Linked DNA regions of Macaca mulatta. The protein of the gene in region 3 interacts with the protein of the main gene of each other region in a biochemical or structural test. Links are inferred from orthologs where the notes say so. Each region holds a gene or a part of one and is shown on either strand. Other genes may lie near its edges. The genes, in order: SNAP25, SNAP23 and STX4.

What was found.
Region 1: the proteins of STX4 (region 3) and SNAP25 form a complex in vitro, tested with the Homo sapiens proteins (3 studies listed by BioGRID). The link is inferred for Macaca mulatta from reciprocal best matches to the Homo sapiens genes STX4 and SNAP25.
Region 2: the proteins of STX4 (region 3) and SNAP23 form a complex in vitro, tested with the Homo sapiens proteins (4 studies listed by BioGRID). The link is inferred for Macaca mulatta from reciprocal best matches to the Homo sapiens genes STX4 and SNAP23.

The regions. Positions count from the first base shown.
Region 1 is NC_133415.1:73,754,508-73,758,156, reverse strand, and holds part of SNAP25 (synaptosomal-associated protein 25), read left to right. Parts: intron 1-629; 5' UTR 630-692; coding exon 693-764; intron 765-2,883; coding exon 2,884-2,925; intron 2,926-3,649.
Region 2 is NC_133412.1:19,899,936-19,904,144, reverse strand, and holds the start of SNAP23 (synaptosomal-associated protein 23), read right to left. Parts: upstream 2,887-4,209; 5' UTR 2,810-2,886; exon of another isoform or gene 2,759-2,809; intron 1-2,758. UniProt on the Homo sapiens protein: Essential component of the high affinity receptor for the general membrane fusion machinery and an important regulator of transport vesicle docking and fusion.
Region 3 is NC_133425.1:29,674,730-29,678,271, reverse strand, and holds part of STX4 (syntaxin-4), read right to left. Parts: intron 2,070-3,542; coding exon 1,961-2,069; intron 1,882-1,960; coding exon 1,805-1,881; intron 1,486-1,804; coding exon 1,348-1,485; intron 451-1,347; coding exon 340-450; intron 269-339; coding exon 188-268; 3' UTR 173-187; intron 80-172; exon of another isoform or gene 1-79. UniProt on the Homo sapiens protein: Plasma membrane t-SNARE that mediates docking of transport vesicles. Necessary for the translocation of SLC2A4 from intracellular vesicles to the plasma membrane.

The DNA.
Region 1 (3,649 bases), on a different chromosome or scaffold from region 3:
CTCCAGCCTGGGTGACAGAGCGAGACTCCGTCTCAAAAACAAAACAAAACCAACAAACAAACAAAAAGAAAAGAAAAAGAAAGAAAAGAAAGTAGATCAGCAGTTTTCTGGGCATAGACATGTGGGATAGGGCAGGGACCACTGGGTGGGTAGGAAATTTGGGGGAATAATGGCTAAGTTCATTGTTTTGATTGCAGTCATGGTTTTCTGGGCGTATACATATGTCAAAACTTCTCAAGTTGTCCACTTCACATATGTGGGGTGTCCTGTATATCTGTTATACCTTAATAGAGCTATTTAAATAAATAAATAAATGTGACGATAAAAGTGCACTAACCCCAAACCACACCCCTCCAACCTCATCATTCCCAACCCTTGGGTAGTTTGTCTCTTTAGAAATATTTCATAGGTAGATAGGTGTCTACCTCCATGGTAGAATTGGCAAGTATGTATTTGTGGCACCTTTCGGAGAAATAGCACAATTCTCTTGACCCCTGTCTGAGCATGGCTTTCAGATCAGAAAACTGAGTCATGTGGACTGAATATGGGCCATGTAGATTTTCTGGTCTTTGCACACACCTACATGAACATATATAAGCTCTCATATTTTCAAATCTACTTCTTTCCAGGTCCAGAGCCAAACCCATCACTGACCCCCCAGCCCAGGCGCCCAGCCACTCCCCACCGCTACCATGGCCGAAGACGCAGACATGCGCAATGAGCTGGAGGAGATGCAGCGAAGGGCTGACCAGTTGGCTGATGAGGTAAGGAGTGGAGACCTAGGAAGGGAGGCAAAAGATGAAGGCCTGAGTGGTTTGTCTTTTTCAGGTTTAGGTAAGGAAAGGCTTTCTTTCAATGTCTCAATTTTAGAAAAAGTAGTATGACTTTGATTTTCTATACAGCTAAGCCTTCTGCAGCCCAGAATGAGTTGATTACAAAACCTGTATACAAATTAATGCCTTGGCCGTAACTCTCAATTTCTAGAAATCTTGAGAAGTCAAGGTTCTCTAAGAAAAGAAAGCAATGTCTTTGGGTGCCTTACATTCAGTGCTATGCTGGAGAAGGTTCAGTTCTAAGAACAGATTGTTAACATTTTCAGGAACTTTGCAAGCTGGTTGCTAAATGCAGCCATTATTAAAATTGAATCATATAAACTGACAATTAGATAGATTATATTAAAATCAAAAGTAATAAACACTCAAACCTCATCACTTCCTAATTATTTTGCCACATTTTACTATTATCCAGGATCTTGAGATCCATCCATTGTATCTGTAGGGTGGAAATAAGGTGTAATAATGTGTCACCATGTATCTTTCCAACTTCATGATCAGTAATATGAAGTTGTAGCTTAAAATCAGGCAGAGCTGAGTACAGTGGCTCGCACTTGTGATCTCAGCTGCTTGGGAGGCTGAGGCAGGAGGATCGCATAGGCCAAGAGTTCATGACCAGCCTGAGCAACATAGAGAGACTCCTACCTCTAAAAATATTTGAAAATTTAAAAATCAGACAGAGTAAAAGTATTTATAACCCAAGAATCTGCAAATACTGCAGATCAGGACTTGACTTATTGTTTCGCTGATTGCCTAGACTTTAAAAAGTGGAGAAAATATTAATAATGCAGATTAAAGTTAGAAATATGTATGTCTGCAGCCATTATACTATGAATAACACAAAAAGAGGAAATCTTCCAGTATTTGAAAGTTATGATTCTCTAAGGCAAAGAAATCCCTTTTGTCATTCACAAATGAAGAAATTTCCAACACATGTCTTCATTGTTTCATTTTCTTCTTACTCATTAACATAAATGAAAATATCCAACCAACATTCATGTCAGAACTACTCTGGTTCATCACATGGTTAGCTATAGATACAAGAGTTCAGCAAAAATCAGTAAAAGCTTTCTGTGAGAATCAATTGGCTATGCGGAATTTACAATAAAGAGAGTATCGTATATTTTATTATTATTTATAAATGTTGTGCTATTCATCCTTTACATCAGTAAAATAATAACCTTGAATACATGTATGTGTTCGTATATTTTTCCCAGAGAGCCAGTAGTTAAACCTTTACCAGCAGACTGCTGCTTGCAGCCATTCTGTTTCAAAAAGCAGCCAGCTGACAGGTCTTCCAGGGAAGTTAACATCCTTCAGGTTCCTGCAGAATCTTGTTCAAAATAAGTTTGTCACTTAAAAGCAAAGCTTTGAGAAATCATACTGGTTGTTGGATTCTAGTCGTTTCAAAAGAACTGAGGAAAAAAATGACAACGCCGTGCCTGGGGGACTGTTGCAGAGCTCAGACTTTCCATCTCATTTTTTCTTATCTAAGGATGAAGATAATTATTATAGCTGTCTCCTATAGGCTAGTCATTTCAAACATGCTTGATTTTTTTCACCCTAAGGCAACAACTTAATTTGTATTGATAAGAACTTCCAATTGTGTTTCTAGGAGCTTTGTAAGAAACTTGATGTTATATTCATCTCGATTCATGAAAAATTATGCTCGTGTTTAAAATTTAATATTCCTGGCCCAGGGAGGCCAAATTAATCCTCTGAGTATTTGAGATAATTTTTCATGCATTCTGAGCATGCAAAATTATCTTCTCCAGATTACTTTGTCTTTGATATCAAGATCAGCTTCATATGGTTTTGATTTTATGAATATAAGCTTTAATGTAATTGCTTTAGGGAATCTGATCATGTAAAAAGCCTGATAGGAAAGAGTTTGAAAACGTAATGACATTTTGTGTTTCACTTGCCAACTGAAAAGAATATGTGATAGAGACCCTTTGTGATTCTCAAGTAAATACAGTATTTCTGACTTTCCAAGACCTCTGGATCCTGCACTCATAAAGCTTGTGTTTGTTTGTTTTTTTAATCTTAGTCGCTGGAAAGCACCCGTCGTATGCTGCAACTGGTTGAAGAGGTAAGAAGTGACAGTATTTTAAGGTAAAGAAACAAATCCTTTATGCTGATATATCCTCTCCTAGTTGCTATTATGTTTCCTTAGTCCATGATCCCATAGATTCCAGTGTGAATGTAGCCTATCAGAAAGGCTCAGAATGAGGGAGATGCTGTATTTAAGTTGCCAGATAGCCATGAAGGCAACATCACCCTCCTTCCCAGCCCAAGCTACCTCTGTAGTCTGGGAAGCAGAGAAGAATAGAATTTCCAAGTCAGTGCTCTCAAGAAATCACAAAAGATTGTATCACTTTAAGCAAATCAGAGCAATTTTTAATATACAAAGGAATTATCTACATGAAATATTATTTGTAATTATTTTGGTGCCTATAAATTACATTTAATCTTGAGATTCTGTTCTAACTTTAGCCACATATATGACTTTTAAAAATATGTAATGCATATAGGTATATCATTTTAAGAAATTGTTCTATTTAAAGTTAAGCACTAAAATTTACGAAAAAAATAGGAAAGGCCTTTAAGAAAGGGAAATATCAAGTCCAATATTATAAATACAGAAGCTTTTCTATATTCCTGTCTGGATTAAGCATCCATTTGCGAGGCAGGATTAATGAATCCCAAACTATTTTTAAATGGGTAAAATGGGGCAGACAGTAATAATGGAATCAAAAGGGCACTTGGAATCATAAACCTCACTCATTCCAATTTGGTAGTACAGCAGTCGGCCA
Region 2 (4,209 bases), on a different chromosome or scaffold from region 3:
GGAAGAAAAAATGGTTTCGTGGGCAGCCTCAGGACTTGGGGCCCTGAGTCCCAGCTGCTCCAGCTCATGGCTAAAAGGGACCAAGGTACAGCTTGGGCTGTTGCTTCAGAGGCTGCAAGCCCCAAAACCTTGGTAGCTTGCACGTGATGCTGGGGCTGCAGGTGCACAGAAGTCAAGAATTGAGGTTTGGGAACCTCTGTCTAGATTTCAGAAGATGTATGGAAATCCCTGGATGTCCAGGCCAAAGTCTGCTGCAGGGGAAGAGACCTCAAGGAGAACCTCTGCTAGGGTGTTGCAGAAAGGAAACATGGGGTTGGAGCCCCCCCAGAGTCCCCACTGGGGCACTGCCTAGTGGAGCTGTGAGAAGATGGCCACCATCCTCCAGACTCCAGAATGGCAGGTCTACAAACAGCTTGCACCATACACCTGGAAAAGCCGCAGGCACTGAATGCCAGCCCAGGAGAGCAGCCTCTGGGCCTGAACCCTGCAAAGCCACAGGGTCGGAACTGCTCAAGCCCTTGGGAGCCCACTCTTTGCATCAGCATGCCCTGGATGTGAGACATGGAGTCAAAGGAGATTAAAATAAGCTTTAAGATGGAATGACTGTCCCACTGGATTTTGGACTTGTATAGGGCCAGTAACCCCTTTGTTTTGTCCAATTTCTCCCATTTGGAATGGGAGCATTTACCAATGCCTATTCCCCCATAGCATCTTAGAAGTAACTAACTTGCTTTTGATTTTACAGGCTCCTAGGCAAAAGGGACTTGCCTTGTCTCAGATGAGACTTTGGACTTGGACTTTTGGGTTAATACTGGAATGAGTTAAGACTTTGGAGGCCTGTTGGGAAGGCATGATTGTGTTTTGAACTGTGAGGACATGAGATTAGAAAAGCGCCAGGGGAGCCGGGAGTGGTGGCTCACGTCTGTAATCCCAGAACCTTGGGAGGACGAGGCGGGTGGATCATGAGGTCAGGAGTTCAAGACCAGCCTGGCCAATATAGTGAAATCCCGTCTCTACTAAAAAATACAAAAATTAGCCAGGTGCGGTGGCTCACGCCTGTAATCCCAGCACTTTGGGAGGTGGAAGCCAGTGGATAACCTGAGGTCGGGAGTTCAAGACCAGCCTGGCCAACATGGCCAAACCCCATCTCTACTAAAAATACAAAAATTAGCCAGGTGTGGTGGCAGGCGCCTGTAATCCCAGCTACTTGGGAGGCTGATGCAGGAGAACTGCTTGACCCTGGGAGATGGAGGTTGCAGTGAGCGGAGATCATGCCACTGCACTCCAATCTGAGCAACAGAGCAAGACCCCATCTCAAAAAAAAAAAAAAAAAAAAAAAAGGCAGGTTTGGTGGAATGCATCTGTAGTCTCTATTCAGGAGGGTGAGGCAGGAGGATGGCTGAAGTGTTGGAGGTTGTAGTGAGCCGACATAGCGCCACTGCGCTCCAGCCTGGGTGACTCTGTCTCAAAAACAAAAAAAAAAAAAAGAAAGAAAGAAAGAAAGAAAGGGGCCAGGGGCAGAATGATATGGTTTGGCTACCCATAACCTCATCTCGAATCTGGTGGGAGGTGATTAAATTATGGAGGTGGTTTCCCCCATGCTGTTCTCATGATACTGGTTTTATAAGGGGCTCTTTCCCCTTCACTCTGTCTCTCCTGCCATCTTGTGAAGAAGGTACTTGGCTTCTCCTTTGCCTTCCACCACGATTATAAGTTTCTTGAGGCCTCCCCAGCCATGCAGAACTGAGAGTCAATTAAACGTCTTTCCTTTATCAATTACCCAGTCTCAGGTATTTCTTTTTCTTTTTCTTTTGGAGATGGAGTCTGACTCTGCCTCCCAGGCTGGAGCACAGTGGCATGATCTCAGTTGACTGCAAACTCTGCTTCCCAGGTTCAGGGAATTCTCCTGCCTCAGCCTCCGGAGTAGCTGGGATTACAAGCATATGCCACCATGCCTGGCTAATTTTTGTATTTTTAGTAGAGATGGGAGTTCATCATGTTGGCCAGGCTGGTCTCGAACTCCTGATCTCAAGTGATCTTCCCACCTGGGCCTCCCAAAGTGCTGGGATTACAGGCATGAGCCACCAAGCCCGGCCTCGGGTACTTCTTTATAGCAGTGTGAGATCGGACTAATACAGACTCCATTCCAGGAGATGACAAATAGCAAAAGGCAAAGTGATACTCCCTTCTTGACTTTTTTTCTCCCCTACTTTTATGTCTTTACGTTTTCTCCTACCATCAACTGCCTTTCCTAACATTGTGGTGACTAATGATTAAAGAAGAAAAAAAGGACGAGATGAAACTGCACTTTACAGTACTTTTTCCCCCCACCACTACAATCCCGAATTGTGGAATTCATTCTTTTCCTGATCCTCTAATTTGTGCCGCGAGGTAAGGCTGAACCTTTCTACAGAGAAAGTGCTATCCAATACCAGGAACCTGAGAGTCCTTCCTCAAGCCATTATCTCAGAGCTATCTGGTCACCGTGGTCACCAGACATGCAGTCTATTAATGTCAACCACAGCAACACAGTGGGGGTGAGGGACGGGAGGTGATCTCTGTTTAATTTCGAGGAAGGGTCCAGAGAATCACCATCCAGCCACCTTCCTCCACTGGCCCCTCGATGTTCTCACGGCACCTCCCGTCCTCGCTCCGGGCCCATTTGCCCAGTAAGGGCCAGAGCGCCCCCTCCTCCGCTTAAGCCCGACCCCACCAACTTTTCAACCAATACGATATACTCTTTCTTCTCAGGACATACTCTCCGACTTCATCCCGGTCAGCTCCCTCCGTCCCACTCCTGGAGACTCACCAAGCGGGTAAGGCCACTCCTCTCCAGCCGCAGCTCGGACACCCCAACACCGGACCTGGCGCGGCGCCCTAGTCGCGCCTGCGCGCGCCGAGCCCGCGCGCCTGCGCACATCCCGTGCGCCGAGGACACGGACACACCCTTGCAGCTGGAGCCAATCACGGTGCTGGGGGTTTAAATGTCCCTGCCACGCAGGCGGAGAGTCTGGGAATTCACCAGTTAACCGGATAGATTCCGGTCATGCCCGAAGCTGGGAGGTGTTCATGCAATAAACATTTACTGAGGGCAAACCGTGTGCCAGGCAGTGTGCTGGATGAACGATGAAGAAAAGAAAGCGAATAGAATGCTTTCCCTGCCCTTCAGCGTCTTTCAATATGTCTAGACTAAGATATAGATATGTAAACAAATTTATAGTGAATAGAATACAGTGCATAGCACATAGAAAATCTGAGGCGCCTTTGGCTGATAATGAACAAAGCGTTTTATTCTTAGGGGTGTCTGGAAGGGTTCCCGGAGGAAGTGACTTGAGTCCTGAAGGATAAGTAGGAGTTCCCCCGGAAATCCGGCAGAGAAAGAGCTAGAGTTTTCCAGGCTCTGGGAAACAGCTTATGTCGAGAACAGCATAACGCCTTCTGGAAATTTCTAGTAGTTCATCCTTGTAAGAGGCTTAGTGCTAATCGTACATCCCAGAGTGTAGAGGGAAGAAAGCTTTAGAAGGCCGACAATCGCTAGATTTTGGAAGGCCTTGGAATTTTAGACCACTTTGTACTATGGGCACTGAAAACTATTGAAGAGTTTTAAGCAGATGGATGATTATTGTAAACTATTTGCTGCAGGAACCCTTCCATGCACCTCTAAGAATAAAACAAACTGCTGGAAATCAAGAAAATAAAGTGCTTCACCAGGCACAGTGGCTCACACCTGTAATCAATCCCAGCACTTTGGGAGGCTGAAGCGGGCAGATCACGAGGTCAGGAGTTTGAGACCAGCCTAGCAAAAATAGAGAAACCCCCGTCTCTACTAAAAATACAAAATATGGCCGGGCGTGGTGGCTCACGCCTGTAATCCCAGCACTTTGGGAGGCCGAGGCGGGCGGATCGCGAGGTCAGGAGATCGAGACCATCCTGCTTAACACGGTGAAACCCCGTCTCTACTAAAAATACAAAAAAATTAGCCGGGCGTGGTGGCGTGGTGGCGGGCGCCTGTAGTCACAGCTACTCGGGAGGCTGAGGCAGGAGAATGGCCTGAACCCAGGAGGCGGAGCTTGCAGTGAGCCGAGCTCGAGCCACTGCACTCCAGCCTGGGCGATAGAGCAAGACTCTGTCTCAAAAAAAAAAAAAATATATATATATATATATATATATATATAAATTTTGTATTTTTATATTTTGTATGTTTATATT
Region 3 (3,542 bases):
GTCCAGCTGGAGGCTCTGCCCTGTCCCCCAGGCTGCTGGGAGAGAAGGCCAGGCCCTGGGTCCCTGGTGCTCCTAGTGCCTGTAAGGAAAGGAGGGAGAACAGGGTCTGAGGGAGAAGGGAGGGCTGGGGCCAGGGCTGGGGCAGGCCAGAGGGCAGCCCACAACATCTCACCAACAATGTGTGACATTATCCAACCACTGTGACGCCAATGATGACTGCTAGGAGGACGACGGTGATGGACACACAGATGGCAATCAAGACTTTCTTCTGTGGGAGAGGAGGGGGTCAGGGAAGTCACACAGGGTGCCTGGGGCAGAGGCTGGGCCTGGGAGGCTCACCTTCCTCGCCTTCTTCTGGTTCTCCAGGGCTGTCTTGACGTGCTCCTGCCCGCGTTCCACGTAGTCCGCTGAGCTCAGGATGTTCTTCTCAATCCGATTGATCATCTCCCCCTGCTCAGAGGATGGGGTGATTCAGGGAGGTAAGGATGCCTTTGCCCACCCCACCCCAGATGACTGAAGAGCATTCCTGGCAGGAAAAAAAAAGATTGCACTAACAAAGACAAGGGCAAGACTCGATCTGACAAAAGTTCAGGCTCCTTGGAGATGGCTTCCAGGTCCCTTCTATCATGTAGTCCCTTGTCCCCTGCTCGCTTATCCCATATGACCTCTATCTGCAGTGGTAGCTTGGAGCTAAGGACCTCAAATGGCTCATACCTTTCACAGATGGTGAACTGTGCCTTCACAAATCTGTCTGAATTTACCCATTCTTCCAGGCCTATCTACAGCTGCTGCAAAGCCCTCCCTATCCCTGCCTCCTCCTGGCACCACCAGCCTCAGGTCTCAGTGCTCCTACTGAATGAGATCTCTTTCCTGTAAGTCTCAGCTGCAAAAGGGCATTGGTTGTAGCATGACTGAGGCCAGCTCCTCCAGGACAGGGCTGGAAGCTCAACTCAACTCACGCAACCAGGGCCAGGGGAACACCGCCCCCACCCCAGCCTTGTACAGATGTTAGGAGGCAGCCCCTCTAAGGCAACTCTGACTGAACCTCTGAGAGGTATCAGGGTGGATGCTGTTAGTGGAGGGGGAGCCAGGGCTGGGGCCAGACCTGGGCAGGCTCAAGTTTTGGAGAGAGGGCAGGGTGCTATGCAGAAGGGAGTGGGTATCTGGGTAGCAGCAGAGGCAGGCGCCATTCTCGGGGTACAGCTAAAGATAAGAATAAGCACCAATTTGGGGGGATGGCCAAACCTGGAAGACACAAAAGCCTCAGGGAGAGAATCTAAGGGTGGCAGGAGGCTGGCAGTTTGGACTGAGCCTGGTATCACGTCTGGGGCTGCGCGGGGCACTCACCTGCATCTCCACTTCAGAAGCCAGAAAAGTGAAGATATCGTGCAGCTCACGAATACTGCGTTCAAGCTGCTGGATCTCACTGTGCCGGGCCGAGATCTCATTTAAGGCCTGTCGAGTCACCTGTGTGTCCTTCAGGATCTAGGGGGTGGACAGGAGTGGGGCAACTGTTCACAGGGAGACCGACAGCAGGTCAGAAGCTCCTGTTGAACTTCTGGGTAGCCCTCAGCCTGGAATCTGATGGGTGACTCCAGGTTAGCTAATTAATTCCCTTAGGGGCCTCAGGGTCCCCTCAATCAGAAAGGGACATAGCAAGCGGAGTCCAGTGGCTCACACCTATAGTCCCAGCTACTCGGGAGGCTGAGACAGGAGGATCACCTGAGCCCAGAAGGTCAAGAACGGGATAGGAATCAGAGGAGATGGGAGGCACAGCAGAGAGGGGCTGGCTGTGGCCACTCACATTGGACACAAACACCTCGCTCTGCCCACTATCCAGCATCTGCTCCAGCTCCTCGTCAGATACCATCCCAGCATTGGCTGTGAAGGAAAAGGCCAGGCTCAGGGCTGGGTTGGGATTACCTGCCCCTGCAGGCCAGGCTGGGCACACACAACTCACTGATCTTCAGCTGCCTCCGGATCCGCTCCACGTTCTTCTCCCGGTATTCGGACTGCATTGAATTGCACTTGTTGATGAGCTCCACGAATTGCTGGGACAGGACCCCATGCTAAAGATGAAGAATATAGGCTGGGTGCCCCGGGAGGATCCTTGCCCGGTCTGGGCCTCGGCAATCCCATAGTAAAGTGAGCAAATAGCATGAGCTCTTATGCGGGGTCTGCCACCTTAACCACTTTGTGATGACCTTGACAGGCTCCCCCATTTCTCTTAGACAAAAAGCCAAAGCCCTTAGCAAGTCTATGTGGCCCTCCATGATCTTTTTTATTTTTATTTATTTATTATTTATTTTTTGAGACAGAGTTTCGTTCTTATTGCCCAGGCTGGAGTGCAGTGGCGCAATCTTGGTTCACCACAACCTTGGCCTCCTGGGTTCAAGCGATTCTCTTGCCTCAGCCTCCCAAGTAGCTGGGACTACAGATGAACATCACCATGCATGGTTAATTTTTATATTTTTAGTAGAGATGGGGTTTCACCATGTTGGCCAGGATGGTCTCAATCTCTTGACCTCAGGTGATCCACCCACCTCAGCCTCCCAAAGTGCTGGGATTACAAGTGTGAGCCACTGCACCTGGCCTATTTTTATTTTTAATAGAGACAGGGTTGACCCGCACGGTGGCTCATGCTTGTAATCTCAGCACTTTGGGAGGCTGAGGTAGGCAGATCACCTGAGGTCGGAGTTCAAGACCAGCCTGGCCAACATGGTGAAACCCCATCTCTACTAAAAATACAAAAATTAACTGGGTGCAGTGGTGGGTGCCTGTAGTCCCAGCTACTTGGGAGGCTGAAGCAGGAGAATGGCTTGAACTCAGGAGGCGGAGGCTGCAGTGAGCAGAGATGGCACCACTGCACTCCAGCCTGGGTGACAGAGTGAGACCTTGTCTCAAAAAAAAAAAAACAGAGAGAGATGGGGTCTCGCAATGTTGCCCAGGCTGGTCTCAAACGCCTGGGCTCAACCAATCCTCCCACCTCAGCCTCCAAAGTGCTGGGATCACAGGTGTGAGCCAAGGTGCACGGCCAGCCCTCTCTGATCTTGCTTCCTCTTACTGTTCCCTCCCTCTGCCCATCCACATTGGTCTCCTTACAGCCCTCCCTAGACAAAGCACACTCTCAGCTTAAACCTTTGCATTCACTTCTCATTCTACCTAGAATGCCCATTCCCCGCAAACACCTTTAAGTCTTTTGTTCAGATGTCACCTTCTGAATGAAGCTTCCTCCACTTGCTTTCAACTGCAACGCTACCCTCCTCCAGCATGCTCAGTCCCTCTTCCGCTGCTCTTTTTTCCTTAATGCTTATTATGTTCTAAATAATTCACTTATTTATTATGGTGATTGTCTACACCAGAAGGGAAGTTCCATGAGGATAGGGATCATTGATTCACTGCTGTACCCTAAACAGTTCCAAAAAGGTCTGGCACACAGTAGGCACCCAATATGTAACTGCTGAATGCTTGCTGAATGCCAACCTTGCTGCCTACACCACAGTTCCTATGCCTAGAGATGAACATGCTGCCTGGGCGAAACA